7 linked regions of the Nothobranchius furzeri genome follow. The protein of the gene in region 4 interacts with the protein of the main gene of each other region in a pairwise test. Links are inferred from orthologs where the notes say so. Each region holds a gene or a part of one and is shown on either strand. Other genes may lie near its edges. The genes, in order: bag3, pelo, wdr83, hspb1, fxr1, stub1 and heterogeneous nuclear ribonucleoprotein D0.

Evidence for each region.
Region 1: the proteins of hspb1 (region 4) and bag3 interact in binary tests that used the Homo sapiens proteins (3 or more experiments, as listed by UniProt). The link is inferred for Nothobranchius furzeri from reciprocal best matches to the Homo sapiens genes HSPB1 and BAG3.
Region 2: the proteins of hspb1 (region 4) and pelo interact in binary tests that used the Homo sapiens proteins (3 or more experiments, as listed by UniProt). The link is inferred for Nothobranchius furzeri from reciprocal best matches to the Homo sapiens genes HSPB1 and PELO.
Region 3: the proteins of hspb1 (region 4) and wdr83 interact in binary tests that used the Homo sapiens proteins (3 or more experiments, as listed by UniProt). The link is inferred for Nothobranchius furzeri from reciprocal best matches to the Homo sapiens genes HSPB1 and WDR83.
Region 5: the proteins of hspb1 (region 4) and fxr1 interact in a two-hybrid assay, tested with the Homo sapiens proteins (2 studies listed by BioGRID and IntAct). The link is inferred for Nothobranchius furzeri from reciprocal best matches to the Homo sapiens genes HSPB1 and FXR1.
Region 6: the proteins of hspb1 (region 4) and stub1 interact in binary tests that used the Homo sapiens proteins (3 or more experiments, as listed by UniProt). The link is inferred for Nothobranchius furzeri from reciprocal best matches to the Homo sapiens genes HSPB1 and STUB1.
Region 7: the proteins of hspb1 (region 4) and heterogeneous nuclear ribonucleoprotein D0 come close enough for resonance energy transfer, tested with the Homo sapiens proteins (2 studies listed by BioGRID). The link is inferred for Nothobranchius furzeri from reciprocal best matches to the Homo sapiens genes HSPB1 and HNRNPD.

The regions. Positions count from the first base shown.
Region 1 is NC_091752.1:5,543,067-5,547,586, forward strand, and holds the start of bag3 (BAG family molecular chaperone regulator 3), read right to left. Parts: upstream 2,913-4,520; 5' UTR 2,885-2,912; coding exon 2,714-2,884; intron 1-2,713. Other genes in the region: tial1 (nucleolysin TIAR), read left to right, coding at 4,004-4,032, 4,386-4,482. UniProt on the Homo sapiens protein: Co-chaperone and adapter protein that connects different classes of molecular chaperones including heat shock proteins 70 (HSP70s), e.g. HSPA1A/HSP70 or HSPA8/HSC70, and small heat shock proteins (sHSPs), e.g. HSPB8.
Region 2 is NC_091756.1:34,853,528-34,857,947, forward strand, and holds the start of pelo (protein pelota homolog), read left to right. Parts: upstream 1-1,473; 5' UTR 1,474-1,703; coding exon 1,704-1,744; intron 1,745-2,119; coding exon 2,120-2,212; intron 2,213-2,450; coding exon 2,451-2,601; intron 2,602-2,723; coding exon 2,724-2,814; intron 2,815-3,257; coding exon 3,258-3,421; intron 3,422-3,948; coding exon 3,949-4,009; intron 4,010-4,420. Other genes in the region: ppp1cab (protein phosphatase 1, catalytic subunit, alpha isozyme b), read right to left, coding at 685-739. UniProt on the Homo sapiens protein: Component of the Pelota-HBS1L complex, a complex that recognizes stalled ribosomes and triggers the No-Go Decay (NGD) pathway.
Region 3 is NC_091744.1:1,725,007-1,729,594, forward strand, and holds the start of wdr83 (WD repeat domain-containing protein 83), read left to right. Parts: upstream 1-1,521; 5' UTR 1,522-1,591; intron 1,592-1,730; exon of another isoform or gene 1,731-1,858; intron 1,859-2,165; coding exon of another isoform or gene 2,166-2,215; exon of another isoform or gene 2,216-2,318; intron 2,319-2,791; exon of another isoform or gene 2,792-2,926; intron 2,927-3,044; 5' UTR 3,045-3,047; coding exon 3,048-3,153; intron 3,154-3,959; coding exon 3,960-4,080; intron 4,081-4,256; coding exon 4,257-4,362; intron 4,363-4,508; coding exon 4,509-4,557; intron 4,558-4,588. Other genes in the region: wdr83os (PAT complex subunit Asterix), read right to left, coding at 2,166-2,215. UniProt on the Homo sapiens protein: Molecular scaffold protein for various multimeric protein complexes. Acts as a module in the assembly of a multicomponent scaffold for the ERK pathway, linking ERK responses to specific agonists.
Region 4 is NC_091750.1:66,231,490-66,235,332, forward strand, and holds hspb1 (heat shock protein beta-1), read left to right. Parts: upstream 1-1,526; 5' UTR 1,527-1,616; coding exon 1,617-1,998; intron 1,999-2,449; coding exon 2,450-2,513; intron 2,514-2,738; coding exon 2,739-2,889; 3' UTR 2,890-3,127; downstream 3,128-3,843. UniProt on the Homo sapiens protein: Small heat shock protein which functions as a molecular chaperone probably maintaining denatured proteins in a folding-competent state. Plays a role in stress resistance and actin organization.
Region 5 is NC_091748.1:72,983,496-72,987,415, reverse strand, and holds part of fxr1 (RNA-binding protein FXR1), read left to right. Parts: intron 1-58; coding exon 59-180; intron 181-282; coding exon 283-489; intron 490-652; coding exon 653-721; intron 722-1,191; coding exon 1,192-1,274; intron 1,275-2,734; coding exon 2,735-2,893; 3' UTR 2,894-3,920. UniProt on the Homo sapiens protein: mRNA-binding protein that acts as a regulator of mRNAs translation and/or stability, and which is required for various processes, such as neurogenesis, muscle development and spermatogenesis.
Region 6 is NC_091756.1:32,259,644-32,264,222, reverse strand, and holds the start of stub1 (E3 ubiquitin-protein ligase CHIP), read left to right. Parts: upstream 1-1,716; 5' UTR 1,717-1,856; intron 1,857-2,523; 5' UTR 2,524-2,637; coding exon 2,638-2,751; intron 2,752-2,863; coding exon 2,864-3,062; intron 3,063-4,144; coding exon 4,145-4,310; intron 4,311-4,404; coding exon 4,405-4,480; intron 4,481-4,579. UniProt on the Homo sapiens protein: E3 ubiquitin-protein ligase which targets misfolded chaperone substrates towards proteasomal degradation.
Region 7 is NC_091746.1:62,892,486-62,897,148, forward strand, and holds the start of heterogeneous nuclear ribonucleoprotein D0, read right to left. Parts: upstream 2,982-4,663; 5' UTR 2,761-2,981; coding exon 2,591-2,760; intron 1-2,590. Other genes in the region: enoph1 (enolase-phosphatase E1), read left to right, coding at 3,650-3,734, 3,957-4,048, 4,188-4,289. UniProt on the Homo sapiens protein: Binds with high affinity to RNA molecules that contain AU-rich elements (AREs) found within the 3'-UTR of many proto-oncogenes and cytokine mRNAs.

The sequences.
Region 1 (4,520 bases), on a different chromosome or scaffold from region 4:
AATTTCCAAACAATAAATTAAATATGGTTCAATCAGTGAGTGATACAACATTAATAACCCAGACCAACTTAGTAGAAACATGACTCTATAGAATACTGCTATGGCTTTGGCAACTTTCCCCTTTATATAACGTATAGGTGATTTCCAAGTGAGACTCTTAAAGAGATTGACTCGTTGTTCTTGAGCTTAAAGAGACAATGTGTAGTTTTTAATCATTCATTTCTGGAAATATCCATCAAAATGTCGTTAAATTAATGGAATGATGCCCAGTTGTTGAAAATGATTGACGGCTTTGTATAATAACCATAAAAATCAGGTCTAAAATACATGGGAGTGGGTCTAAGTCTCTGGGTGACTCCATATTAGATGTCAAGTTTCCTTCTAAGGGAGCCCGTGAGGACAAATTGCATTTACTGATTTGTAACAAACAGTTACAAAACTTTTGTCATTCTTAAATGTTGTTTTACACATTTACCTCTTCACTTGTTGCCACTGATTAAAGGGAGTCTGATGTGCTTGTCATTTTACTAAAGTTTGCACTCCCCAGGGCTTTTTGACCCTAATGAGCATCTGTCGCTTTCCGCAGCCGCTCGCTTCCGAACTCAATTTTTACTGGTACCCGCTCTACAACGGCTCCGCTCCGGTGCAGAGACCTGAGGTGCGCAAACAGGCATGCGCTGGATTTTCGAGATCTTGCGATACAGTCCGAGCAATAAATGCTCGTTGGAAGTTAGATCCAAACACCCGTTGTGTGGGGGAAGCATCGAAATGAACTGTTTAATCTGCCCATCATTTGTGTTGAGAGATCAGCAGTGTTTGGATCAACAAAGTGTGACTACTTTGATAGTAGAAACTGTATTTATGGCTTATGTTGTGCATTTAAAGTTCAACCGCCATTGATAGTTGTTAAAAGTTGTTAAACATGTGCATATGAAACAAAAAACGTTTTTTGTTTATCGATTTATTGTGAAATAACGGAAGTTGTGCTTGCTCCCTTTCCTGTTGGGCGATTGTGATTTCTGTCCTTTGACTGCGGAGGTGCTCCGGCGTCCGGCAAAAATAGAATCAATCCATTTTTGCCGGATGGCGGAACGGCTCACTGCGCCGCACGGCCGCAGTAGTGGAACAGCTCTGATTGACTACAACGGGACCGTTTTTGCTGCAGAGTTCGTGCCGGAGCGGAGATAGTGGAATTTTGGGGTTACTCAAACACAAAAATACTGCTTGCTTGCAACGATTTATGTATCTACTGCCCCCTATCGCCAGGAAAAATACACACCGTCTCTTTAATTGCAGTTGTTGCCTTCAAGAACAGTGGCGCCCCCAAGTGGTGGCCAGAGGGGGGCCTTGACCAATCCTGGAAAATTGCTGGCCACCTCAGAGCACTTCCACTCTCCAACCTCCTTTAATAAATCATATTTATGTTCAATATTTATGTTCACAAAACTATACATTAGTCTTCTTTAATAAAATGTAAAACCTTACAAATATAGAAATAAGTAAACAAATTAATATGTTGCTGCTGTGCACCATTTTCAAGAAGAAGTACAAATATCAATCTGTTTTGTAAAATGCATTCATTAAGACAGCGACAGATACATCCAGCTGTTCTAAACTACTAAAAAGTAAATGTTAAAGTATGAATAAATTAAATATTTGAAGTTTCTTATTTTCTCAAATATAACATTTCTGCTGCATATTTTTTAAGAATGGATGAGGATGCAGAGCACAGCTACAGGCTAAAAAACTCAAGAGTTACCAAGAGAACTAGTTTGATGTGCCACCCTTAAATTTTCCTTGGCCCCCCAATCTTGTCCCCCATGAAAATGTCCTGGTGCCGCCTCTGTCCAAGAGTGTTCAGAGTTATTGGTTAAGAGAACTTGAAGTCTTCATCTGAAAACTGCATTTTGTCTTTGCTGATCTGAAACATTTATGCGTGACAACAAAAAGAACAAAAGCAGAAGAAATCTGTAAAGGTGCAAATACTTTTTTTACATAAGCCTCAGAATGATCAAACACCAACACTGAAAGTGCCCCATGCAGCTGAGATAATAAAAAATAAATAAAATACAACTACAAGCAGGGCATTAATGTGTGAACTATTGATAATCCTCCAGCAAAAGTTGAGAAATAGCCGTGAACGACCCTTTGCCCTCTGCCTGGTCCAATGCACCAATTTTATCCCTCAACAGCTGTGTCTTTCTAGCAGATTCCTCAGGACACTAACTTTGGAAAACAGTGTCTGTCCCTATGAAGAAAGATTACCCAGCTGGCAGCCTGTGGAGCTCACGTCAGCCCACGGATTTGATTACAGACCTGTAGATTTCTACATTTCCACATCTAAACAACCAGATTCAATATCCTAAATGGAATGGGACCCAACTGCATTTTATTTTGTGGGTAAAAAAGTTTATAATGAGTTTTCCACCTAAATTAACGCTGGTATCAGAAAGCCTTGACACTCGGCAGTGAGTCATCGGGTAATAATAGTGTTAGATCATGACTCGGGAACATAACGGGGCTGATCACCCGTTTTATTAGGCTTATGAGCAGTCAGTGAGGGGGAGGCGACGGGACCTAACAAGGCCTACAGTCAACAAGATTAACACAAAACAGCCATGTAGCGTAGCGACTCCAGCAGCTTAACACAATCCGTAACCGACGCAGCACCCTACGGAAACCCGTTGAAACAACTTTATCCCGCCTCCGTTACCTTTTTGGTGTCGTGTCTCGGGTCATTCCAGGTTGTCGTCCGGTTGTTGTGATCCACGAAAAAGGGCCATCCAGTGTGAGGGTCGATTTTGACTTCCCATCCGAGGGGGAGCTGGTCGATGTCATTATCAGCCATCACAAGTGTCGGAGAGTGCGTCTTCACTGCGTTCATGGCGAGTACTGAGACATTTTTTATGGGCGGCGGTCCCTTTAAAGATTCCTGCGAGTGACGTAGGAAAGTGGGCTGGAAGTTTCTCGAAATAGCGGGGTTAATGTCGGGGGCGGCGGACCGCGCTGGAAGCAGCGGCATGGCGGCTACTTCTTGTGTCGCAGACACCCCCCAACAAAAGACACTACATTAATTTAGTTATAGTTGGTGTTTACAGAGAGCAGCTATTACCAGCTCTACTTTAATAACAACCCCAGAATCACGTAATAACCCTGAAACCTTCTCACTCACGCATGCGCAAATCTATTAGACCTGGGGTTTGAACAGCAGTTTTTCCCCTCAATCCAATTTGCTTAGAGATGCAACTGCTAAACCTGTTTATGCGTCTGCATCGGTGCGGAGACACAAAACGCCAGGAACTTGAAACAAATATGATTTATCGTTCTGATAAATATCTACGGAGGAGAATTAAGGCCACTGATAAAAAGTTATTTTCTCAGATTTCTTAGATTGTAAGAATTATGAGAAAGGGTAGAATATTGGCTCCTTTCTGAGATTAAAATTAGAAATATGTATGTCATCTAGTCTGTTATAAAATGTGTGTCATTTTTGTGAGGAAAAGAACCCCATCTTGTTTCTATTATCAAGTTTAAAAATTCGGAAAACCTTGTGAAAAATGAGTACCGATGCTTGTTTTGTTCGAGTCCAAATCGTGAAAACCTCGAAATACAAAACGAGCGTACCCATGTAATGGACTTCAAAATAAAAGCCTTTTACGTAAATTGCGTTGCTTTCGAAAAGCAAGAGGGAAATAAGTCATTATATTCTCTGAATCAACTGTTTTATTCAATTAATTTCTATTTACACACGGTGAATTCAACTTACAGAATAAAATTAAGCCATTTATAGCTTCGAACTAAAGGTTGACCCAGACCCTTTGGGTTGACCTTTCGGTGCTCATGCGCAGGCGCAGTTAGCACACTCAGCGTGACGTAAGAAACGTTGCCCGGTTAGCTTTCTAAGCTAGTTAGCTCGTTGTTTACAGCGTTTATCTCTCAGTCTACGTCCTTTAATTACCAAATAGTTTATATTTTTTCTACGACGTCACGTTCAGTGTTGGTCATGGACGACGAAAGTTACCCCAGAACCCTGTAAGTATTTTTAGTGTTTTCGTGGTAGCTAGCTTTCGTTTGGTTTCTCATACGCAGCGGCTAACTGAGCTACATGTCCAAAAAACAAGTGTAGACAACGTTCAATATTAAGTGTTAATTTACGTTTTTAATTAGTAGGCGTTCAAAAACACGTATATTTCGACGATTAAAAAAAACGTTAGTTCAGATGAGGGATTACCTTAAACAGTTTCACATTGGAAACGAGGATATTTATATAACGTTAGCTGGTAGTGTCCTCTACATCATGATCTGTGATATATAAATCATAAATTACTGTAGGTCTGAATCTGAATTAAACCTCGTCTACATTTTAAACTTCCTCTTCATTGCAGGTACGTGGGAAACCTCTCCTGGGACGTTACAGAGGTTTTGATTTTACAACTCTTCTCCCAGATTGGACCGTGTAAAAGCTGCAAAATGATCACAGAGGTAAAACTACCCGTTATCTTTTATGGTAATGTATATCC
Region 2 (4,420 bases), on a different chromosome or scaffold from region 4:
CCAGCATACGTGTGTCTATCTATCTATCTATATATATCATATTTTCACAACTCTATTGGTGAAACATTTTTATAAGCAGACCACTGAGAAAGGGTCAAAAATTATGTATTTTAGTAGTTTTTCCTGTTGTCTCATTTATCGCAGCATCTAAAAGCACACGATGCAAAGGGAAATTCAAATATTTTAGGTTTATTCTGACACTGAGAAAATCTAAACATCTCATGGATTTCTGACAAACTGGTCAATTTTGGGGATTTTTGGTAAAGGGTATTCTGTAAATCATGCGTTAAAATAACCAGAACGCTTTTTAAATACCAATTTTCACCTACGATGATTTATTTTCATGATTGGAAAAAGTAAAAACTTCAAACTAACCCTACAATAAAATCACACGTCTTCATCGCTTGATGAAAATACATTTCAAACAGCAAATATGAGAAAAGACGCGCATCGTTTCAATAAATCAATGTTAAACGAGCCCTTTAACGGGATTACATGTGAAAATTTTTGTTGAAGCACTTAATGCAGGTCTACATAATTAATCTGATGGTTTCTGTCCAATGCGAGTCAAATTTTGTATTTCAATTGTAAAACCCCAAAGATGGATAATTAGGAAGTCTTTCATTGGCGGCTTCTTCCCTGTTAGCTAAAATGGCACCTCGGTGAATAAAAACCGAGTCTTACCTTCCAGGAGACGCTGTATAATTGAATCGATGTTCAGCTTGTCGGCTTCCGCCATACTATTCTTCTAATCGGGTCGGGTTTTCTTTGATTTACTTCGAAATTTCAATACGAAAAGATTGTAAAGTAGCTCTCGAGTTTACCGTTAGCTCAAGTAGTTAATCGGCTATCGTTAGCCGCTAGCTAACCTTGGGGGATAATAACAACCTCAAAGTGTGAGGCTGAAGACTGAATTGTTGAATATGTGATGGCTGACATGTGCTTGCAGAAATTTAATTAATCAACGACTTCAAATTTGAATCCTAAAACACTTTTTAAGTGTTTGAAATATCCGCCGCGGCTGCTAGCACAACCATGCCATCGACAAAAAAGGTTAGAAGAGCGTGGCTGAACGGATGTTGTCCGACTGTATTTGAGCTGCAATTGGTTCGTTTACCTCCGTGGCCGGGATCTGTGGTACAAAATCTGCTATCGGGTTGGCTATTTTCAATGTACGTCAGCATTTAGTCATCTCAAAACCACAACGATAAAAGAGCAAGTGCTCACGGAAATGGATCAAACGTTGTTCTTTGAGAAACTTCAGTTTACTTGAACATTTCCAAATAAATAAATACATCTACAAAATCTGAAATATTTAAGTTTCGGTCGCTTTGTATGTACTGCGCAGAAGCAACACCCATTAAAGAGGCCAAGCTAGACAGAATTGACGTATGATAACATGACGCAATGGGTCCTCTACTGCTTATTCGCCGGCGAGTTTAGTGGTGCATCGAATGGGCGGATGCAACTTACAGTCCGCTACGGTCTCAATGTTTAGGCGGATCGTTCTCCGGCATAACGTTAAGGAACGGACCCACGTCTCAGCGCCTCGCAACACGAACCGAGTGATTCATTCCAAAGTTGAGAGATGGCTTAGCTTAGTTAGCGCTTTCATTGAAATAAATATGTCCGTAATTCGGTTAAACTCCTGCCACTGTAGTTTAGGTTGACAATCTTGTTTATTACATTAAAACAATCCAGCCATGAAGTTGCTCCACAAAGACATTGAGAAAGATTATGCCGGGTGAGTGAAATGTTTCAGCTAATATTAGCAAGCTAAAAAGCATGCTATTGTAGCTGACCAAACATGTGTCATCGTAGTGGTGATGGATACAGGAACATTTACGATCAGTGCTTTATTAGACAATGTACAGAATGAAGCATTATTAACATAATACTGTATTTCCTGATATAGCCAGAGAGCTTTGATGACTGTTCTGTCCCCATCTAATGGGTAAACAATAAGAATCAAACAGTTTTTGTAATTTTTTTTTACATTCTGCATAAACATTCTATCAAACATTTGGATCAGTCGATGTCTAAAGAACATTTGATCTTGTGTAATCAAACATAAAAGCCAATCAGAAAGCTAGTTTGATGTGTGTTAACACTTCTTCAGTCAGGTAACTCTGATGCCAGAGGAGGCAGAGGATATGTGGCACACCTACAACCTGCTCCAAGTGGGGGACAGCTTGAGAGCCTCAACCATCCGGTAACCTTTGACCTGTGTCGCATAAAGATGAGATGTGCAACTCTGAACATTAAACTATCTCATGACCATTAAACAGACCACTTAGAAGTTGGTTTTAGTTCAGATGAGTTTGTTTCTTCTCTTTTCTGCCTGCTAATCAGTCAGGGTTGTATTTTGATTTGATCCCTTTCACAGTCTGTATGCATGTTAAATTGAACATTACACTAACAACTAAAGCTATTTTCCCTTGTTGCCACAGAAAAGTACAGACAGAATCCACGACAGGAAGTGTGGGCAGCTCCAGAGTCCGGACAACTCTGACTTTATGTGTGGAGACCATTGACTTTGACTCCCAGGCATGCCAGCTGAGAGTGAAAGGCACCAACATCGAGGAGAACCAGTATGTCAAGGTGGGAAATTGGACCGTAACCCTATAGTAGTCACACTCCGGTGTGTTTTTGTTTTGCTGTATTTGACACCGTTACTAGGGCTTGTTTGGGTTTGAAAACACTTGTCATATTGTGTTTTTCAGATGGGGGCTTACCACACTATTGAATTGGAGCTCAATAGGAAGTTCACTCTGGCTAAAAAATGCTGGGACAGCATTGTGCTGGACAGAATTGGTAATTGGCTGCTGGCTTTTATGCCACAGTTTTAAAATGAGATCATTTGCTGTTGAGAAAGGATGCCATTACAGCTGTTTAGGTTAGTTCCTAAAAATCATGCACAGTATTTTAGTGCTCAGCCTGTATGTTATGGACGATTAAATGTCGTTCACATAAAATTTAAGCTGTAAAATCAATGTGTTTACCAGTTTCAGTGAACTGTAGCAGCCATCCTGAATCAGGTTGACCCCAAGCACAAACCAGGTTGTAGATGTGCTATAAAATATACGTTTTTAGAGTCTTATTGAAATCCATCCAGTGGTTTATTAGATATCTTGCTGACAAATGCAAACAAAAACACAAGTACCCGCCTTTTGGCTTTCAGCAGTGAGTTGTGATAGACCTGCAGTAAAACATTTGTAATGATGTTTGACCCATTTTTATTATTTTCTACCCTTTAGACCAAGCATGTGATCCGGCTCAGAAAGCAGATGTGGCAGCTGTGGTCATGCAGGAAGGTCTGGCTAACGTGGTTCTGGTGACCCCCGCCATGACTCTGCTTCGGGCAAAAGTGGAGGTCACGATTCCTCGGAAGAGAAAAGGCAGCTGCAGTCAGCACGAGAAGGTCAGTCGTCTGGGATGTGTTCTGGTGTGTGCTTTGTTTATGTCTGGATAAACCTGCTTGATTTATTTGAAGAGCAAGTCACTCCAAATCAACATTTTTTTTGCTGATAAACTATATAAATGAGTGTCTTATTGTGCTGTAGACAAATGTAGTCAATAATTTGGCATTTTAGTGCATCTTAGTTAAATTTTAACTATTCTGCCTAAAACTGTCAGCGGTGCACTGTCGTCAGGCAAAAACTCAGCACTGCATTTGAATAGAAATCTGCCATCGCTATTGGCTAAGAGGTACACAATGATGTTAGATGGTACATTATGATGTCACAATGTCGTGAGTGTGTGTATTTGTTAGCGGCTCCACCCTCTCGGTCTGCTAGGCAACAGGAAGTGGGAGTTCAGTAAGAATCTGGCCGTGGGTGACTTGCTCTTTAAGAGTGGTTGCCTTCAGATGGTCATGTAACGATTATTCACGGGTGCATTCAGATAAATCATTTAAAAGGTAAGTGTTGTGCTTGTTTTTTTTACCAGGCATTGGAGAGGTTCTATGAGGCCGTGATGCAGGCCATTCTTCGCCACATTAACTTTGATGGTAGGTCCAACAGACCTACACTTCCACATGTAACAACACAGCATGTTCCTGTTTTCATCACATGTTCCACTCTGAGTTTCACCCGCAGGCTGAATGTAAAAACGGTCTTCTACCCCATCACCTGATTTAGCTGCTGATAGAAATAGACGGAAAAACGCTCAGATTAGAAAAGTCATTCAGATCTACGTCACACTGGAACTTAACATTCATGGGCTCATCCATCTTGACTCACGATCAGGAAGGCTGTTGCTGGTTTAACAGCCAGGAAACGGCAGAGAACTTATCTGCCTCGTAGAAGCTAACCGTTAGCATGAGCAACTCCACCACACAGCAGAACTACTTCAGGCTTGTATTATATGGGGAGATAAAACGTCAACATTGCAAAGTAAACAGTCAGAGGTAGAGTTGTTT
Region 3 (4,588 bases), on a different chromosome or scaffold from region 4:
GATTGTGGAATAAAAAGAGATAAACTGTTAGTTTTCTCAATATTGTCATTGCAATCGGGACAGATACCGCCATCTGCCGGCTTAAAATGGTATTGCAGTACATTTTAAACAACTTGGGAGTGAAAAGGCTGTTTTGTCACTACAACGGATTTGGGGATGTAGTTTATTGTTAATAGATATTGTGGTTTCACAACAATAAAGTTTTGTATTGTGCATATGGATTTATGAGTAGTACGAAACAATGTCTGAGTTTCTTGTTCTTTAAATTACAGTCCAATTAATCATACATGTTTGAAATATAATGCTGAAATATTAACCTCTGAACAATTTTTGTTTGTTGATTATATTTCATTTTTAATTTATTATTATTTTGCATCATGATTTATTTTATGGTGTAGTGTCATGTGGTAATTGTTGCAAATTCTAAATGTAATTTTTATTTTCCTCAACTGAGGTCATTTTTATTTGCTTTATTCTTCAGTACGTTGAATGTAGGTTACATTGTAAACTGAATGTATGTGAAAACGAAGATTGAAATAGTTTTAAAAAAGTTTAAAATGTACTGCAATAACCATTTTAAGCCGGCAGATGGCGGTATCTGCCCCGATTGCAATGACAATATTGAGAAAACTAACAGTTTATCTCTTTTTATTCCACAATCCACATTGGTAGCAGTTGTCATAAATTATTTCAGAAATTGAGAACTGCTCTGGCGCTCTCCATCTAGCTCTGGTGCTCCCCTGCTTTTCCTGACTCTGTACCGGAGGCCGGTGACCCACCGCCGGTCTTCCACCCGGAAGTGTCTGTGGATCTTCCACTAGATCTGTCACGGATTCGTCTGGGGGAGCAACAAAAATGATGGAAAAAATAAATGCATTAACGCTTCTGATTGCATTACACTGTATATGCATGAAGTGACTGGGAAACGCATTTGTAAACCGCTTGAAATATTTCAAATATTTTCGGTGACAGCCTTGTTTGTTTTGATTTTGTTAATAAAGTAAAAAATAAAAACGTTGGCATGATGAGGCCGATGATGCAATAAGTGCTGCAATTACTGAGGTCACTACTACAGCCGCAGGTACCGTGGCAGCAGTGGTAGGAGGCGTGGCTAGTGCCACTAAAAGTCGTGGTAGGGGGCGTGGCTAGTGCCACTAAAAGTCGGAAGTGTAATGGCAGCAGTGGTAGGGGGCGTGGCTAGTGCCACTAAAAGTCAAGAGCAGCAGTGGTAGGGGGTCGTGGCTAGTGCCACTAAAAGTCAATAATCCAATAATACCTAGCTGCGGACATTGCCCAGGAAAAACGTTTTTCCTGGGCAATGTCCGCAGCTAGACCTTACTCCTAAAAGTCGTGGCACCACCCGGAAGTGTAATGGCAGCAGTGGTAGGGGGCGTGGCTAGTGCAAAGTCGTGGCACCACCCGGAAGTGTAATGGCAGCAGTGGTAGGGGGCGTGGCTAGTGCCACTAAAAGCCGCGGGTGCCACTAAAAGCCGTGGCACCACCCGGAAGTATCAGAACTGCCACTGCAAGTGCCACAAGCGCTGCCGCTGCCACAAATTGCGCTCGGTCCTGCTGTAAAATAGACACTAGGGTAAGTAAACAGCCTGTAGTGTGACATCTACTATCTTTAAAAAACAAACTCATGGTGGGTCTGTGTTTGTGTTTCCACTAATCTGCCACATAGGTCAAGTTTTAATCAAACAATGAGAGAAATACGCTGCTGCCACGTCAACTTGAAGAATTCTGATTCGTTTTTTCAACCTGTGTGAAGAAGAAATCACAGAAAGGATTGACTAAAATGTCACAAGATTTTGCAGTACGGAAATAAAGATGATAAAGAAGTTAAAACAAGTGAAAGGTAAAATCCGATCAGATTAGCTGTGGTTTCATTATTTTTTGACTTAATAAATTTAAAAAAGAATTAAATTACACGCTGTGCGAAAGACTCCCAAACTGATGAATTGAGTTATTTTCTTGAATGCTGATAAATAACATACGAGTAGAAATGTCGACTCCATGAGAAAGTGTAAACCATAATTTCAAAGCTAAAGCTAATTCCCATTACAAAGTATCACTAGTGAGGAAGGGTTAGCTAGGCTGCTAGCTCGTTGTCAATTATGGCTAGTTTCGGTGTAGATTTGTCTGATTGATGGGGGAAAACCTACCGTATAATTTTATTTAGCCTCCTCGGATCTGTCGTGCTATTGGAAGACATTTTTGCCCCCAAATCTCCTTTGTTAAAAAGCAAATAAAATAAATTTAAAGTGACCGACGGACAGCTGATCGGCCTCGCGGTGAGTGACGAAACGAGATCAGAAAATTATTTCCGCTAAATTTCAAAACAAGAGTTCAAGATGTTTTTTTGCATTGACTAACATGGAGGTAAAATATTTAATATTTTATTTTGAAAAGAACAAAATAACCCAGTATAAATGGGGCATACGGGTTTAAACAGTACACTCTTTATGATAGGAAAACATAATACAGGAATGTGTGGCTGTGGAAAGGATAGAGAAACGGTAGAAAATGTACTGTGTAAATGTGACAAATATATAAAGAATAGGAAAATATTATCTAGACAATTAAAGATGAAAGATAATGAAAAGTTGAATTTGAGGAATATATTAATTGGAGGATTAGATGTGTATAAATTACTAATTGAATTTTTAAAGACTGGTAATTTAATATATAGAATTTAATTAGAACAGTTTCTCCGTTTCTCCCTAATGCGACTCATACTCCCACACAGAAGGTGGCGGAAATGCACCTAGAAGTTGGTTGCCAGCATCGACCGCCACCCGCCAATGAACAAGAAGAAGAAGACGTTGTAACTTAGCAAACATGTATCGTTGGTGGTTTAAAATATTCTAGTATTAAACTTCTAGCTTCGCTTTGAATATATTAACATGACTAACAGATAGCGTAGGTACGTTTTTTCATGTTGATTATTAAAACGCTTTTTATTACCGGAAACTAGCTCGTGCACAGCATAATGACACAGTTTGAGGATATTGTGGGTGACCGATGATTGTTTCTCCTCACAGGTAATGATGGCGTTCCCTCAGCCCAAACCTCAGGCTCCTCAGCTTCCTCAGCATCTTCTCCGGACCATTGACTGCCAGCAAGGAGCTGTCAGGGCTGTTCGCTTTAACGGTAAACTTTAAAACCCCTCTTGAAGCCTGATATTTACTATTTATGCCAAAATACAAACAAACTTCCAAAGAACCAAACCTGTCTTTTTTTGTTAATCATTTAGTAATGTTTAAATCTGTGTTTACAATTTCTGTGATCTTGCAAATGGTTTTTACTTTTATTGTTATTGAATGGCTTTTCCTCCATACATCTTTGTACCTGATTCTTCATTAAAATCTACTAGTAGCAGCACTGCAATAAACACAAAATATAGTTAGTGTTTAATGTTGAGAATATTAAAATAATTTGATGAATCCATTATCCATCTGGCTAATGCCTAATCATAAACCATTAGTCCCTTGCATTCACACACACACACACACACACACACACACACACACACACACACACACACACACACACATACACATATATGTATGTATGTATAAAGTCTTATATTTTAAGCCTTTTGCCCCAAATGAATGACTTATGTAAGAAAAGATGTCAAGTTGTTGTTGTTGTTGTTGTTAGCCTCAAGGGCAACATGCCGATTATCACTTGTAAGTCGCTTTGCACAAAAGCGTCTGCTAAATACATAAACATAAAACATTGTTTTTATTGGTGTAAAATGTTCCTTTTTGCTTAGCTGTTGGTCGTGTACTGACAACACTTAATACACCTTTACTTAGGGCTTTTATTTTGTTGATGTTACAGTAGGAAGTGGCTTAAAATGAAAAGCACTCTTATGAAATTGGTCGCATGCAAAGATTTGACTGAAATCAACAATAATAATAAACATGATTGTTTTCCTCCTTATTTTTAACCAGCTGACGGAAACTATGTACTGTCGTGCGGCAGCGACAAGTCGCTGAAGTTATGGAGTGTGAGTCAGGGGACCTTCCTGAAGACGTACAGCGGTCATGGATACGAGGTTCTGGATGCAGATGGGTGAGACGTTTGCTCTCATTTTCTTCCTCAGTATTTCAGGAATAATAAAATGTTGTTTTCAGGTGATTTTTTTTCCGATCCATGATGGAAAGAACACAAACACTTCAGTCATCTATTTACTAAACTCCTTTTGAGCCTTGATGGACCTTTTTTTCCCTCTTTGACTGCTTCCACAGGTCATACGACAACAGCCAGATTTGCTCCTGCAGCTCCGACAAGAGCGTGATCCTGTGGGACGTAGCAACAGGCCAGGTCACACGCAAGCTCCGAGGTCACGCCGGGGTCAGTCTGGCTGCTTTCTATGATGGCGTTTCTTTTGTCTGTAAAGTCCATTTGATGTAATTGTCTGAGCTGTTGCTGATGTTGTTGATGTGCATTTATGTTTCAGTTTAATCGTGAATATCTTTGATTAAACTTTCTTTTCTCAGAAAGTTAATTGTGTGCAGTTCAACGAGGAGGCAACAGTGATCTTATCTGGTGAGTAGCAGAACACGTCTGCAGTGATCCG
Region 4 (3,843 bases):
CATGGAAGTTTCCCTGCTGCCTGCTGTTTGGCGTCTCTCAGATGCAGAGTGGATCATCCACCTGAAAGCTCCGGTTGTTTGCATTTGAAAATGAATTCCTGCATTGCCCGTTTGACCACCTGGAGGTCGTTCCCAGAAAGGGCCTTTAATGCAAAACAGAAAAACTGGCTCCAATTTAAATTGTTACTGTCTTTCCTGCAAAAACAACCTTGTTTACTGATTTAAAAAAAACTTCATTTTCACCATTTAAAAGCTGTTTTTTGCTTATATGAATGTTGATGGTAAACTTTTATTTATACAACCACATTAGACTCTAGTGTTTTCATTAATAACATACTATAATAATAATGTAAGAAAATGTGTGGCTCTTTAAAAAATGTAAATTTTGAACGTTAACATTTGTTTTTCTTTAAAAATCTTTTCAGAAGTTTTTGAACTTTATGCATGAAAGGGTTTATATTAGTTAGATCATTTTCATTCTAGATGTTCAAACAAAATCATCTCATGTTGAAAAATGGTGGAATTGTTGGTTTTTCTTTCTTTTTTTTCCAGCTAAATATCTGAATACTTCTGAGTTAAAAATGCTTATGAAACGTGTATGTGGAGTAACCAGGTAGGTAGGTTTTAGTAGTGTTGCAAATCTGCAACGCCTGCCTCCAGAGGGTTGCTCAAAGACAACACCCAGCAGCATTTTGTTTAAAACTGAGATGCATTTGGTCTAAAATGAACGTCTTCTATGTTTTTAATCCAGTTTGATATCAAAATACAGTTAGTATTTTGGCGTAGATAGCCCGAAAAGAAGGGGTTGAATTGATTCACAGTTGAAAGTGTCTCCCAGGCAGGATCTAACACGTACGTGTAAATGCTCCCTTTGCTTACCCTAAACCCATCTTCCAGGTGTTTCTACAACACTCTGCTAAATGTTTTCTATTGGACGCATCTTTCTAGACCGTTGTGTGTGTAAATGTGCATCTGTATTAAAACTAGAGCAAAACCACGACCCTGAGAAACGAATGCAACCAAAATGATGTTTTCATGTCTGGTTTTTAGCTCACTTTTTCCTACTTTGATGAAACTAAACAGTTTCCTGTCATCCACTAAGAAACTTGGGAGTTTTTAACCCAGTTTGGGTCAAAATGAGTTTTGATAGAAGGACGACCTCTGAGTTAAACAATGCTCATGAAACACATATGTGGAGTAACCAGGTAGGTAACTGTTGCAAACCTGCAATGCCTGCCTCCAGAGGGTTAACCCAGGTGAGTATTATGTGTTACTTTTTGCATCGTATCCCAGCATGTTGTGATCACATCGGCTCTTCAGGTTTCCTCCAGTTGCTTCTAGTCAGATCTGATCAGAATGGGAGGGGTGGGGGTGGGAGCTCTTACGTTTGCACTGGGCAGCTGTTACCAAGACCCGCCCTCCACGTGCTGCAACAGACACAAATAGATTCTAGATCTTTCCGTAGGCATGTTGGGGGCTTGTGGGTCTGGGGGCAGGGCGTTAGGGGGGTGGGACCAGCGTGTATAAAAGCTCTGCAGCATGTGAGTCAGGCATCAACTTGGAAGAACATTTTCTGAAAGACTTGAGAAGACTTCTTCTGCCCGACCACAGCAAGCATGGCTGAGAGAAATATTCCCTTCACCCTGGCCCGCACTCCCAGCTGGGATCCGCTCCGGGACTGGCACCACAGCAGCCGGATCTTTGACCAGATCTTCGGCATGCCGGCCCTGCTGGAGGACTTTCCCACGTTCCCCAGCTCCCGCTGGCCCGGCTACCTGAGGCCCTCCATCCTGGGCACTGACATCATGATGCCCCACAGCCACATGTACCCGGGACAGATGTTGGCCCAGCAGGCTCGTGCCCTGTCCAGGCAGATGGGCAGTGGCGTGTCAGAGATCAAGCAGACGCAGGACAGCTGGAAGGTGTCCCTTGACGTCAACCACTTCTCACCTGAGGAGCTGGTGGTGAAGATGAAGGATGGTGTTGTGGAGATCTCTGGTGAGTTTTCTCTCTTCTCTAGGTGTTTAAGTAACCTGCAAACATTCAGGATCTTTTATTCAGGATCCAGGTTAACTGAGGTCATTGTCTCCAGATGAAAAGGACCCCTCCCCCTCTTCCTCACATGGGTGGGAGTGGGATTCTGGCTAGAAGCCAACAGATACCTGTGAAGCAGCTTAGTTTTACTTTTTGTTTACATTTTTACTGGTGGCATGTGAGGCCTCCTCCCTCTCGGACTCGCCCTCGTGATCCCAGTTCTTCCAGTTTGCTGTGACTCCCCAGTGTCTGCAGCTTTAAAAGGACTGCTGGATCCGGTCCAGTTGACTGGACCTGGTCTGAGCACAGAGATAAACAAAGCGTGTGATTCAGTCTCACGGAATGGCACAAGAGATGAATGACATCACTAGCTGTTTATTAATTATTTTTTTAATAATTTCTGTTGTTTCCACAGGAAAGCACGAGGAGAGGAAGGATGAACACGGCTTCATTTCTAGGAGCTTCACCAGGAAATACACGTAAGCTTTTATTTTATTTTTTCAAAATCTGCAGGTTTGTGCAAAATGCATGCAGTCAAATGTATTCTGTATATCTGAAGCTGAAGTTTGGAGTTCTGAAATGCCTTATCAGCCACCTAGTCAGTCATATCTGGTTTATTCAACTCCACAAGTCTGCTGCCACCTAGTGGCCACACCTCTGCTACTACAACAATGTGTAACACTGTCTCCTCCCCCCTCCTCCAGCCTCCCTCCTACCGCTACTTTCGAGAAGGTGACCTCCTCTCTCTCCCCTGAGGGGATTCTGACCGTGGAGGCTCCTCTGATGGCCATCGAGTCGACCGAAACCACGATCCCCGTCACCGTGGAGAAGAAACCCGCCGTGACCCAGAAGTAGATAGCAGCGCTATACACCCTGATGCCATCAACGCACACGCATGCATGCTTTTTGTTTTAATCCACAAACGTCTTCGAGGAGATGAATCTTGTTGTGGTTTTTTTTATTACTTTTTAATTAGCTTTTTCATTTGAAGTAAATGTTGATGTTGCTTCTCAGTGGTCATTATTAAAATCGTGTGTCCTCAGGTACCTGTTTGTCACTGAGCTGCTTTTGGAAATAAAATTAACAAAAAATATTCTTTTGTCTTTTTTTTCATGATGTGACACCAACATGGGTCTGTGTAGTTGAGCTACGTCTGAGAATGAATTTATGTGGCTAAATTATATCTTTTGGTCATCCATGCAAAAAGCGCATCACGAAAGTCCTGTTTACTTACCTGCACATAATTGTTGTTTGCTTTTTAAGCAAAATCTAATAAAATAACATGCAGCCAGCTAACAACTAAATAAATGAACTCAGTCAAATGATCAATTGGATTTTACTAAACGTCCCATTAGTGCATGTAAAGTGGGCGTGGCTTAAACTGAACTGACAACAGTCAATGATGCTCAGCTGCCGGAAAGAAGCCAGCCATGCTGGTTATTTTCATGTTGTTCTGCACCAGCTGATCATCTGTAGGATGGAACCTGTTTCCATCACTTCTTTCTCTCCTTCCATAGCATCATCCTTCAGGCTTTCGTGTTGCACGTCTGTCCGGAAATACACAGACCAACTCTGCTCCTGACCCCAAAGCTGCAGGGGGAAATCTATATATATAGACACCATGTCCTGAGCTTCCAGCGTGCTGTGTGGTCACAGGGAGCCGGCAGACAAACCGGCGGAATGTTCTTCCACGGCTTTTGGCCTGTAGTGACTAATAGGTCAGCTATAGTTGGATTGATTTCAGATTTAACTCTGGCAGCCAAAGCAGATGTCTATTAGCTGACCATTACGTTATAAGCACACAGTTCC
Region 5 (3,920 bases), on a different chromosome or scaffold from region 4:
GACAAGTCTAAATGTGTTGTTTTTTGAGGGCCTCTACGTTCGTTTTTTGGACTTACAGGGAGAGAGAACGAGGCGCTCGGCCACAAAGAGATGGTCGTAGAAGGCCGGGACCTGGCAGAGGTCGAGGGGGACCTGGAGGAAGGGGGAGAGGAGGCAGAGGAGGATACAACTACAGTTCTGGTAAAATTCACCTTAAGGCTTGTCCTTCTGAAGCGCACCCAGTCACCTGCTGTCTTGTGTAACTGCAGCCTGCTGTCGGTCATTCTGAATATAATTCTGCAGCGCCTCGGGACCATGACAACTACCAACCCTATGGAACCTTGGAGGCAAACACTGAGACGGACCAGACAGCTGACACCGATGCCAGCGAGTCCAACCTGCCAGCAAACCGCCGCCGAAGGTCACGGCGTCGCAGAACAGATGAAGATGCCACTCTGATGGATGGCATGAGCGAGTCTGACAACGCCTCGCTGAGTGAAAATGGCTTAGGTATGGAGGATGGATGAGTCGTCTTTGAATGTAATCAGAGTGGCATTGCTAGGTGTTGTCATCAGAGCAGCATTTTGACAGTAGGAGAAGCTTCTGCAGTTTACGGTAGCGTTTAATGTTGAAGACACCAATCATTCTGCTTTTGAAAACCTAAAACTCCTAGATGTAAAACCTCAGCGCCGCAACCGTAGCCGGCGTCGCCGCGCCCACCTGCCAGAGGAGAGGCAGCCAGGTAACCAATGGCAACCGCTGGTGTGTGTTCTCCAGGCTGCAGCTTTAGTGGCATCAAACAGAACACTGCATACTGAGCTGCAGGTGCAGAATTAACTGGCATGAGCGTTGTTGGCGGTTTTGGAAAACTAAGAGGTTTCTTCTTGTCCAACAGCATCTAACAGTTGTGCTTCTATTAAAATGCGAGATTTGAACCACTGCTTTTCCAGCCTGAACTTGTTTTACTCTAAACTCACTATCTGCGTTGCGATTCTGCCGTAGCAAAAGTTACATTTTTAAGTTAACTTAAAATACTTAATCAGTCCTCGCTGATGTTTGTGTCCGGTGTTCCCGACTCTGCAAGCTTCACTAATGTCTGTGCGTTGTAATTTGCACAAATGGAAGTCCTACTGATGTTGTGAAAACTGGGGCGGATGTGGCATAAGTTCTCTGCCCCGGTGCCTTACCAGAGGTGTTGTGGTGTTTGTGCAGTGACCGTGGCTGACTACATATCCAGGGCTGAATCTCAGAGCAGGCAGACAAACACCAAGGACACAAAGAAACCCAAGGATGTGGTCAGTACCGCCATGCTGCATGTGACTGCCGACAGATGTCCGTTAGTTTCTATAAAGTGGTAATTCTGGTAAAGTGAGCATCTCTGGTGTTCGACTGAGAATCTCTTATTTTAGAAGCAAGAAACTGTCTTATAGAGCTGAATGATCACCTGTTTTCTGGTCGACAATTCGATTTCAGACAAACATAATCGGCCAATGCCAGAGCTGAAGGAGCAAAGCTTCGGCTCCTTTTAAGCCGGGCGCACACCGTGCGACTTTTTCACTTTTTTGAGCCGATTTTCCACTCGTGCGAGAATCCACGACATCGGGGCGAGTTTTGCGCTGAGCGTCGTGTAGTGTACAGGGGGTTACGAGAGGCGATTAACACCACGTGACCAGCTACCGATCAGCAATCGTGAGCTCGCACGGACTTCTGGCGTGTTTGATATTTTGCTCGTCCCTCGTGAGGGTATCGCACTGTTGAAGCAGCGCTGCGACCCAAAAAGTACCAGAACCGCTCACGGCGCATGCGCAATCCTGCATCAACACCGCTCGCCCGCTATTTCCCTAATAACACACGCTGTTCGTTTTTATTTCTAAACATTTTTTTACACACAATGACAAATATTGTCAATAAAGCGTGTTTGTCGTGTTCATGTCAAATTAAACTGATAACAAAACACAGATTTACTTTATTTTGTTTTCCTCATCCAACCCCCATAAATCCCCGTGTGTCCTCCTGCAGGACTCCCGAAGGACAACAGGCAAAACAAGACAAAAAAGTCTGACGTGTTGAGTAAAAACTGCTTTTTTTAGCATATTTTTAGGGCCGACGTGTTGCTACCAGACGTACAGTGTGAGCAGTCAGGTCGCATCCGAGAACTGGGTCGTACAGCGTGAGCACATGACTCGTGAGATCTGCCCTGCGAGGAAGTCGTACAGTGTGAGCTGAAGATGAGTGCTACGAGTGAAAAAGTCGCACAGTGTCCGCCCAGCTTTAGTTGTTTTTTTTTTCCTGTAGCGCTGCGCAGGCCCATGTTTTTTATATCTGGGTTCCTGAAGCAGCAGAAGGGGATTTATCGTGGTAAGACTGCAGCCGTGGAAGCTCAAGTTCTCTTCTTTCAAAACCTGTTTGAACGTTTCTGATGACACAAGCCTTTGCAGAGTTAGGGTAACTCAAAGCTAGCCTGTAAAATGCGTCGGCGTTGGTTGTAACGGCTGCTTTTGAGTGAAGAATCATTCAGGCGGCCCTGAAGAACATCCAGTTACCTTCAGATTTCATCCTTAGTGTTAGCTTTAATGCTTTGACGGTGTGATGTCGCGTTCGGCCATGTTTGTGAGTGATTATGTACTTAGTGAATTTTGTGCTGAAGCTTGATTTGAAGAAAGTCGTAACTCAAATGAAACTTTCTATCAGAAAAATGGCAGTGCGGTCATTTCCTAAACGCACTTTAGCTGAAAACTTCCTTTCATCTATCCAGGGTCAGGTGGAGGCTATTGCTGAGCACAGTCCGCAGTCTGCTCCGCCAACCACCAACGGCTCGAGCAACGGCGCCACCAAGTCTCCCCCTGAGAAGCCCGCCAAAGCCTCTCACACGGAGGACTCGAACCCGGAACCTGTCGTTAACGGACTCTCCTAGTTAGACCGGAGCAAAGAAAACGGTTTCAAATATTTGGACTCCTTTGGGGATACTTGGTTGCGTCTCCATGGCGAGGCGTCAAAGTTTACTAAACATTTAAACACAACAAGCACTGTCCTTTTTATTACTTAACAAATATTTGAAACCTGTTCTGCAGCACAAGACCGTAACCTCTCATTTACACCTTTATCTGTTCAACTGTTCATTTTACTAGTTAGTTTTCTTTCTCAGTAGTTCTTCCAGTACGAGCTTGCCAAAGATAGTCAGACACATGTTTAGGGACACACACACACACACACACACACACACACACACCTCTTTAGCTTGCTCTTCACCGAGAGCTCCGATGGAGGTTTGGCTGAAAGCAGTGTTTATACAACGCAGACAGGAATTCCTCTCAAATCCATTCTGTGGTGTGAATGCAGCAGTTTGTTTTTTTAATTCTGGCAAAGTTTTACAACGATGCCTGTTTTTTTGTCGCGTGGCAACATATTTTTTATTTTAGTTTTGTCTTCTCCAGGATGCTTTTTCCATCCGAGGTAGTTTGAAAAGTGAACATCTGCATGAGCCTTACCACGCTGCAGATAGGTTTGTCGCAAACTCAAGTAGAATTGATTCACGTGTGATCAGCTGTTGTGCCTTGAGAGTAGATTCAACATGTTGCTGCCTGGCTCTGCGCTCCACCTGAAATCCTTCCACATCTCTCCGCGTGACCCGGTTTCCCTCACCTGCCACAGACGAGGCGTCTCCGCTAGAGGCCGGTGAGGGCGAACCCTCAAAACGCCCTCAAAGGATTTCAGAGCCATCTCTCTAAAATCAGGTGTCTGCTCTTAATGTTGTGGGGGTGGGGTGGGGTGGGGGGGTCCCGTTATCCTTTATATATTTATCTGTTGAGGAGTTTGACATTAGCTGCTTCCTGTTCTTTAATATGCAACCACTCTGATCATAGGACAAATGTTATTACAGCATATCTGAGACGAGACGAGACGTTTTGTTTGCACTGAAGCGTAACCGACTTCTGTTGAAG
Region 6 (4,579 bases), on a different chromosome or scaffold from region 4:
ATCAACACACCAAGCTGGTGGAGATCGGTAAACACAGCTGGGGACACTCACTGCTGCTAGGTCTGCAGCTCAGTTGGACCCCCCCTCTTTAACACATCTATATGTGTGTTTGCTCTGGGGATGTGTCCTAATCTTCACACAGGCTGGGATGAAAGTGACCCTGTCCAAAATCATTGTCTTGCTAGTTTCTCTGTTGCTAAACTTGAAAGATCTTAGTTATAAAGGTCGTCTGTAGGTCTCCCTGTGGGTGGGATGTCTCTGAGATACTTTATGATAAAGTCTTGAACATTACCCAACCCCTCCCTGAAGATGTCATCCACGACTGAACAAAGTGATGACCTGTTTCTAACAGACTTCTACTACTTTGGCAAAGGGTTAGAGGTGCGTTTGTGAATATTAGGACCAATCTTAATATTTTGATTTAATTATTCAAAAGTTTACATCACTGAAGCCTCAAAAGATCTTGGCATCCATGAAATAAGTTAATAGAGACCTGTTGTCCTTCTCTGCTGTTGCAGGTCTCTACACAGTTAGACGTTTTCAATTTTGATGTTCAAGTAATTTTGCAGCACAGAGCGCCCTCTGCTGGTGAAGCTTCAGATCAAAGTAGGACAAGCCGTGATTAAAAAAAAAGTAATTTGTGTGTGTGTGTGTGTGTGTGTGTGTGTGTGTGTGTGTGTGTGTGTGTGTGTGTGTGTGTGTGTGTGTGTGTGTGTGTGTGTGTGTGTGTGTGTGTGTGTGCTTTGCTTTGCTTTATGGTATTATAAGATAATAAAAATTTTAATTTGACACACAGACTCTAATTTAAATAAAGTTTAAGTTAAACTTTGAAATCCACAAAGAGAATGTTGGCTTCGACTTAAATATGTAAACAAAACAAAAAAACAAGTCTACCAAAATAACAGCAGCAAACAAAGATCCTGGATATCATTTCATAACAAGAATATGTGAGTCTGTTTGATCATTCATCATTGATCAACATGCCAGGAGAATCCTGAAAGGAATGTTGATAAATGATCCACGTTTTAACAGATTTGTACAAAGTTGCCATCAAAGGGTATATGAATGTAATCCACATTTTATTTTGGTAGGATTATTGCATTTTCTGACACTCTGACATAGCATCCTACCTGAATATGAATTTGAAACCACTGCATTAGGATTTGTACATAACTATTTGATTTAATGCTAAATTAGTAAATAAAGATAATTAAAAAATATAAAAAGATGTTCAGTACAACAGTAGATGCACACGTTTTTTTACCTTTATTGTCAATTAATAGTTGACCTCAAAACCTATTATGTATGAATATGTAAAATGTGTTTTGGAATTACTAATACTTTTGAATAGCTTGAATCTATGTCTACATGTGATAAAAAATAATGACTAAATAACTCACATGCCATCTTAATAAATTTGTCTAAATGTTACGTATTAACACGTAAATGTACAAAAATAAATGATACTTAAAAATGGTGTTTAAATAGCTACAAAATAATAATTAAGACAATTATTTAATAAAATAAAGTATACTCAAAATACTAAACGTTATTTACTGCATTTCACAAACAAATGAAATTGTTGGTAAGTCTTTCTATACATAAAACATTTTTTGTTTTATTCTAAATGAAAGATTAGGAGGTAATAACTGATACATAGTTTCAGTTATTTGCTTTTTATTTCATCGCACTAATTGTGTCCTTTCGGCTTCCGTTGGAGTAACGTAAAAAAGCCCTTTACGTCAGCATAACAACAACTTGTCATGAGAGCTCGTACGGGGAAAATCAATACTTAAAGACTGTATATCAAAATAAATGAAGTCACAATCATCTGGATGTAAGATTTATCATTAAAGGTAAGAGTTGGAAACGGTAGGCTTTAACAACGAACTCAGTTTAAACCAGAAACAGGGGAGGCTTTGGGCTAACAGGCTAATTTTAGCATTAGCTAAAGATTTTTTTACTTATCGCTTAGCCGGGTCTTGGTGTACTATATTATTAACGACAGTGTCCGGCTGAGAATAGTTTGGGATCAAACGTGGCATTTATTGTTCATTTGATGAATTCAGTGAGTTTAACTAGAGCTGAATGAGCGGAATCCTTTAGCAACCCCCGGTGAAAACCGACCACGTAGCCTAGCTTACTAGGCATAGCAGCGATCTCTGGTCTCACTAAAGTTGTGAATTTTTTCGTCTGAGAACATTTTCTTCCACAGCAGCTAGCCTCCAACTGTTCCTGCGCAAGCGAGTGATCTGTTTGGAGGTGTCGGTCGTCACCTTTCGGCTACCTCTGGTGTAAAGTTACCCTGACTTAATACTCAAAGCGGTGCTCATTGCAGATTGCAGCCCACGCCGATGTCCGTCATATGAATAGTTAATTCAGTCTAGGCACCTAGCTGTGTTTTTCAGCGGCAGTGCGCGCAGTCAGCAAATCAAACCTTTTGGGTGGCATCGAGCAGCATTGCACCTAAAAGACGCGCATTGCAGCTGCAGTGCAGTAAACCCTGTGGTGTCTGCTCTGTAGAGCGCGATCCAGGACGGACTGGTCATTTTGAACTCTGACGTCTGGCCAGCCGAAGAGACGGGGAACAGGATTGGGAAGCAGGGCGAGGCGGGCCCCGCGGAGCCGGTGGAGAAGATGGCCGGCAGCCCGGAGAAGAGTTCCACCGCGCAGGAGTTGAAGGAGCAGGGGAACAGGCTGTTCCTCTGCCGCAAGTACCAGGAGGCTGCAACCTGCTACAGCAAAGCTATTGTGAGTGGCACTAAGGATGTCTGAGTCTTAAGTCATCTAAGCTGGAAGAATACAAATGTTTCTGATTACAGATAATTCATTAACACACTTTCTGGTTTATTTTGTCCCACAGAACCGTAATCCATCAGTGGCTGTATACTACACCAACAGGGCCCTCTGCCATGTAAAGCTGCAGCAGTATGACAAGGCTCTGGCTGACTGCAAGCATGCTCTGGAGCTGGACAGCCAGTCCGTTAAGGCACACTTCTTCCTGGGTCAGTGTCACCTGGAGCTGGAGAACTACGACGAGGCTATTGGAAACCTGCAGAAAGGTTTGAGGAAGTCCTTAAAGAGGATGTAAACATGGCTGAGTTTTGCGTCATTTGGGGGGAAAAGTTCGTCTCACAAGTTCCTTCATTTTTCTTTCATAATTCCTTTTAGATTGAAGTTTTTGTATTGTCATCCTTTTATGTAGTTGTTTTCTCGTCCCCATTGTCTTCAGCAATCTTTAAAAGTTCTATTCCATGTCTACATCAATGTTGTGTAGATAAATTAATGACTTGTTGTGTAACATTTCAGAAAAGTCCGTTTTTTTCACAGTTCAACATGACCCTTAAATGTTGTAATACAATCTCCAGTAATTTCTGCCTATTTTAAATACCAGAAAGCTGATGTTTAAGTGCTGCTGGCTGACAGACTCACACTGTTCAGTCCGTGTGTTTTACTCATTTATATCTTTGAATGTTGCTGACAAGTCTCCAGACAAGTTCTTCAAACAAGCAGATCACACAGAGCATTAAACCCAATGTGCAACAGTTATTTGTTTTTTTTTACTAAAGCAGCGGAGTCCAATCCTGGTTCTGGAGTGCCGGTATCCAGCACGTTTTAGCTGTGTCCCTGCTCCAACACACTTAATCAGCAGCTCATCAAGGTCTTCAGAAGCCTGTTAATCACCTGCTGAGTGAAATCAGATGTGTTGGAGCAGGGAAACAACTAAAACATGCTGGATACCGGCTGACTTCAAAACTCATGGATAAGTCTAAAACCATAACACAACACGAGGGTCAGATTTATGCTTTCTATTATAAATGTATAGTTTACAGGCCAAACCAGAGCAATCAGAGGCTGGTTACCTGGTGGGTGCTGATGGACTGAGTCAGTGTCTCCAGTCTGCGTCATAATGATAGAGAAAGCTTGGTCATGTGTAGCTGCAGGTGCAAAATCTCTATCTTCTAACTACAACCTAACCTACCATTTCAGAGCGTTGGGAAATTGTTAAGCAGCCACAGCACCAGCTCTTCTGCAGCAGCATGGAATTGATAGAAAATTGATTTAAAGACTGTTTAGATGTTCTTTTTGACCGTTTTCCAAACTTCCAAGTTTTAACTAATGTGACTTATTTATTTGTTTATAGCGTATAACCTGGCAAAAGAGCAGAGGCTGAACTTTGGAGACGACATCCCCAGTGCGTTACGCATCGCCAAGAAAAAACGTTGGAACAGCATCGAGGAGAAGCGCATCAACCAGGAGAACGAGCTGCACGCCTACCTGACCAAACTCATCCTGGCTGAGAAGGAGAGGTCAGATGGGATTTTTCTGAAATACATTCTGGCACGCTGTGCTCCAGGTGGTTTAGATTTAGTGATATAACGTGGCGTTTACTATTTTTCATAGAGAACTTGAAGAATACAGAGAAAAACAGGATGACAATCAAAGCGGAGGAGATGCAGCAAAGATTTCATCAAAACACGTTGGGTTTTGCCCTGATTTTCACACTTTTTACTGACCAAAATATGCGTTGATGTTAATTTTGGGACATTTTCATTACATGTAAACGTGACCTGCTAAG
Region 7 (4,663 bases), on a different chromosome or scaffold from region 4:
CAGTGCAGATTGGAGACAACCCATAGTAGCACTGATTTGATCTCATTTCAGAGAACAATAGAACAGGTCAGTTGCACCTAATAAATAAAATTACTAACAAACTCAGGAATCTTTCTTTGCTTCACTGTTCTGGTGTAGTGATGGGAAATACGGCTCTTTTTAGAGAGCCGGTTCTTTTGGCTCCCAAGTGGCTCCTCAGATTTTCTGTTGCGTAGAATACATGTATAACCAAAATAATACTAAACTATATGTAAAATAATTTACTAATGTAAAAAAGCAATATATCAAATATTTATAATTTCTATTGATTTAATAACTGAACACTTTAAGAAATCTCCACTTCCCTACTGCTGGCGCTCATTTTCTCCTCTCTCTCGCTCGCCTTTTTCCTCCTCCTCATTCCCTCTCGTCTCCCTCCACCCGCATGTGCTCTGCTGTGTGTCTGTCTGAGTCTGATCCTCCCTCTTCCCCGCCCCTACTGCTCTGTGTGTGGACAGTCTGGACACACAGTTACACATGTTGACCAATCGCCTGTAGCTTTCACCAAGGCAGGGGGGGAGGGGGGAGGGACGGCTCCCAATGACGAGCCGGCTCCCGTCGTTCACTTCAAAGAGCCGGCTCTTAGAGCCGGTTCGTTCGCGACCGACACATCACTATTCTGGTGCTGAGGATATCACTAATGCGGATCAAAGGAGATACACAGATGAACGCACCTCTTATTTATTATTTGGAAACTACATTTACTGCAGCTGGCAGAGGCAGAGATTGTTTCTATTGATACATGAATTTACAGAATCGTTTTAAATGTTAAAAGGGGAAGACTGCAGGAGGGAGCGGTAAAATACAGGGGGTCCCCAGCTAAAACAAGAAACTTTACGAGTCTGATGAAACCCGCTGGTTTTCCATCAGGCAGTCACGGGGCAGCTCCAACGACCCAGTGGCTGTGCTGGGTCAGTTACCGAGCCCAGTCCGGTACCGGCTCGGCCGTGAAGAGCCGAGGCAACGTCATGCTCTGCTTAAGAAGAAGCGTTATTTTCCCGCTTCAGAAGAAGCGTCCAACGTGTTTTTACGCTTTCTCCGAGACATGTCACATTGCTAAGTTGTTAGCGCGCTAACACGTCAATAGTGCAGCGTAGCCTGCTGGAGGTTTTAAGGGTTCAGATGAAAACACCCGACCTCTCAGGCTGCTCACACATCGATCTTAAGTTGTCGCTGTTGCGCTCACGCCGTAATACAGTATTAGATGCGGTTAAAGTCAGACATGAAAAAATAAATAAATTTTACATGAATAAGTGATGCTTAGCCTGGTGGAGGGAGGAAAATCTTGCCTAATAAGCACTGGAGGAAACCCTGTCAAGATCGTTAACACTTGTTTATCTTACTGCTATTGAAACATGTAAACCAAAATGCATTATATCCATTGCTACCTTTCTAATTTTAAACTCAGTAACTTATGCTGTAACGTCACCTTGCTCTGCCTGCTCCTTTCTTCTTGCTGCCCGCCGGCTGTGATCACAAGCGACAACATAGTAGTTCCCGCTGCTTCTTCGGGAAACAGCGCATGGCGGGCCGCCACGGCTACGCCTATGTAAGGGAAACCCTGTATTTTAAAACATTTTCTAAATGCTTTTTTATATTTTTACATTTTTTTTTGTTTTTGTGAAGAGCCTCGTGATTTTTATCTTGAGAGGCACTATAGAAATGATATTTTCTTCTTCTTCTATTCTCTTACAGTACCAGTTGATCACTTTTTTTGAAGAATTTATTTGAGATTTTCTGGTTTTTATTAATTGTGCAATAGACAAATAATAATTAGATTAATCGCCATTAGAAAAGTCAACTATTCGATAAAATAATCGTCAGAATAATCATTTTAAAACTAATCGTTTACCCCCAGCCCTAACACCAAAGTAACTTGAGGTCTTAAGGGGAGACTGTGCAGTGTCTCTCCTTAAGCCCTCCTCCAAATAACCATGTTATTAGGGCAAGAATCTGACAATATGACAAATATCACAATAAAGGGGAGATGATACGATATAATGCAATACTAAAAGCCACATGATTAGCTATTTTAAAGACTGAATTTAATTTTAAATCACTCCAGACGCTTTCAAGACACATCCAGCGTTTTCTCGAGATCTTGTCGTTCCATCAGAATGAAGGCAGTAAAACTGCTGCTACCTAGCAGTCAGAGTTTGAATTGCATCAAACAAAATAATTACAGTAAATGTTAACATTTAAATTGTGAATTACAAACATCGAGAAATATTGATTCAGTGACATGAAATATCACAGCATTGATTTTCTTGCATTCCAACTGATTATGGTTATATCTAAACGGAGTGAGACAGCAGAGTCAACAACATGCTAAAGAAATGTGTCCCGTTATTCTCACTTTGACTACTCAACATAAACATCTTTATAATTGTGTAAATGTATTAAGTCTTACCGATTTCCTTGCTGAATTTGTCTCTATATGTACTTATGCAGATGTAGCATCCATGTTGTATATCCTTCATATAAGTCCAAAAGCTTTGACTGAGAGTGAAATAATAAATGACCGCGTTATGAAGCTGGAACAGTAACATACCCTTCGTCCTCCTCGTTTTTACTGGCGTCAATCCTCGACCCTTCGGCCTCGCCTCCCATCGTCAGGCCACAGTCCCCACTAGCGGACATCGGGTCGTCGTTGTTAGCATCTCCATCCTCCTCCATTCTCATCAGGCTCGAGCCTTCGCTGAATTCATAATCCTTCGACATATTTTGGTTTTTTCAGGCACCTAATTTTTAACTAAAGCGGCACCGGGAATTTTTGAGAAAATACAAATTCACAAAAAAATAGAAGTTGCGCTACAGATAGCTAGTGGCTAGCTAATATTTATTATCAAATACCATCAGATAAAAAAACGAAGCAAACGCAAACCGTGTAGCTTCTTCACGGAAACATCTAAGGTTTTGATTAACAGAAATTTAAAGCGTTTAAACTGATAATTAACTATCTTCCAAATGTTATTTTAATAATAAGAGCGTCGTTTTGTGTCGTTTTTTATCACCGTCACCGGATTCTTCTTCTCTGTTTTAAAAACGGATGAATTAGGAAACCAAACCGGGAACAGCGTCACCCAAACGTGCCGGTGTTACGTCGAAATGTGTGACCCCGTTGAAAACTGTTTCTCCCACTGGCTTTGCCCTGCCCCCTTGTGTTCGGTTCAGATGTAAAGAGATTCACACAGCTTTATCGCACATCCGACTCGCCTCATCAAAAAGTACATAATTTAAGTTATATATTTTCTTCACCTAACATTTTTGTCTTCGCAGTCGCACAAATATATTTGCCGAGGAACACCTATGACGACCATGCTGATGCTGACAGCAGCGAACAGTTTCAGACGGGGTAACCTATACAACATCTAAGTGTAAACATTAAACACGGTTAAAATAAACGTTCTTTGAACGGCAGATTATAATTTCAAGTGAACGTAAAGAGAAAATTAAAAATTGAATGGAAAATATACGGTGTGTGTGTTTTACGTAGAATATTTATCTAGTCAGCTAACACCCTCAAAGAAATAGCACACACGTAACAATGAATTCTAATTATTTTCTGACATGCAAAACAAAATATTATTAATTGTAAACTGTTCAAAATATGTTTTTAAATGATGAGTCCTTGCTATTAAAATACTCAGTATCGTCACCTAGTGAGTTGGAGGTGAATTGTCAGACCGGAACATGTGAGTTAGTTGTTGCATTGTGTGTTCGCTAAAGTAATGGCTTGAATAATCACGTAGCAGAGATCAACTAAAGCCATTTCCTGCTCATTTATAATCTCGGTTTTGCGGTATTCGACCTGGACACGCACGTGGGAACAGAGCCTCGCTGTAACACCACACTATTTAAGCTAAGCTATCGTTAGCTAAGATAAGAACCTCCACCATCCTTGTGTTTTATTCTAGTTACAGAAATGGCCACTGTTTCTATTCCTGCTCGCACTACAACAATCTTGTTGGACATCGAGGGAACCACTACACCAATTACATTCGTTAAGGTGAGTTACATTTGTTTTTATTGTATTAGGTGGGTCCAACCGTAATGCTAAGTAAAGAGCTAACAGTTGCATACGGCTAAAAACTGCCTGTTTCTAACAACTGAAAACTAATACACTCCGGGCTTTGTCACTTTTCCAGGATATTTTGTTTCCTTACATCAGGGAGCATCTGGAGGATCACCTGTCCACTCACTGGGAGGAAGACGAGTGCAAACAAGATGTGCATTTGCTAAAGAAACAGGTATGATTAAAGCCTTAAAGTGAAATTAAAGTGAAAATAAATATTTAAATGGAGCCTTAAAAAATATATCTATCATGATTATGATAGAAAGATTAAAATAAAAATACAAGGAAATCCAATAATTGAAGAAAAACAATTACAATTTATAAAATGGCCTATAAAGCCCAAAGTAAAAGAAATGCAATTTAAAATTCTCAACAACTACTATCCATCAGCAGAGACACTGAGGAAGAGATTTGGTTTTGAAGTTGACCCTTGTGAATTCTGTCAGGGAAGCCCTGAAGAAATAGAACACTTATTTTTCAGCTGTCATATAAGTAAGAGGTTTTGGGAAGAAGTCCATTGTTGGTTAAGAAATAAAATAAGAGAACTTG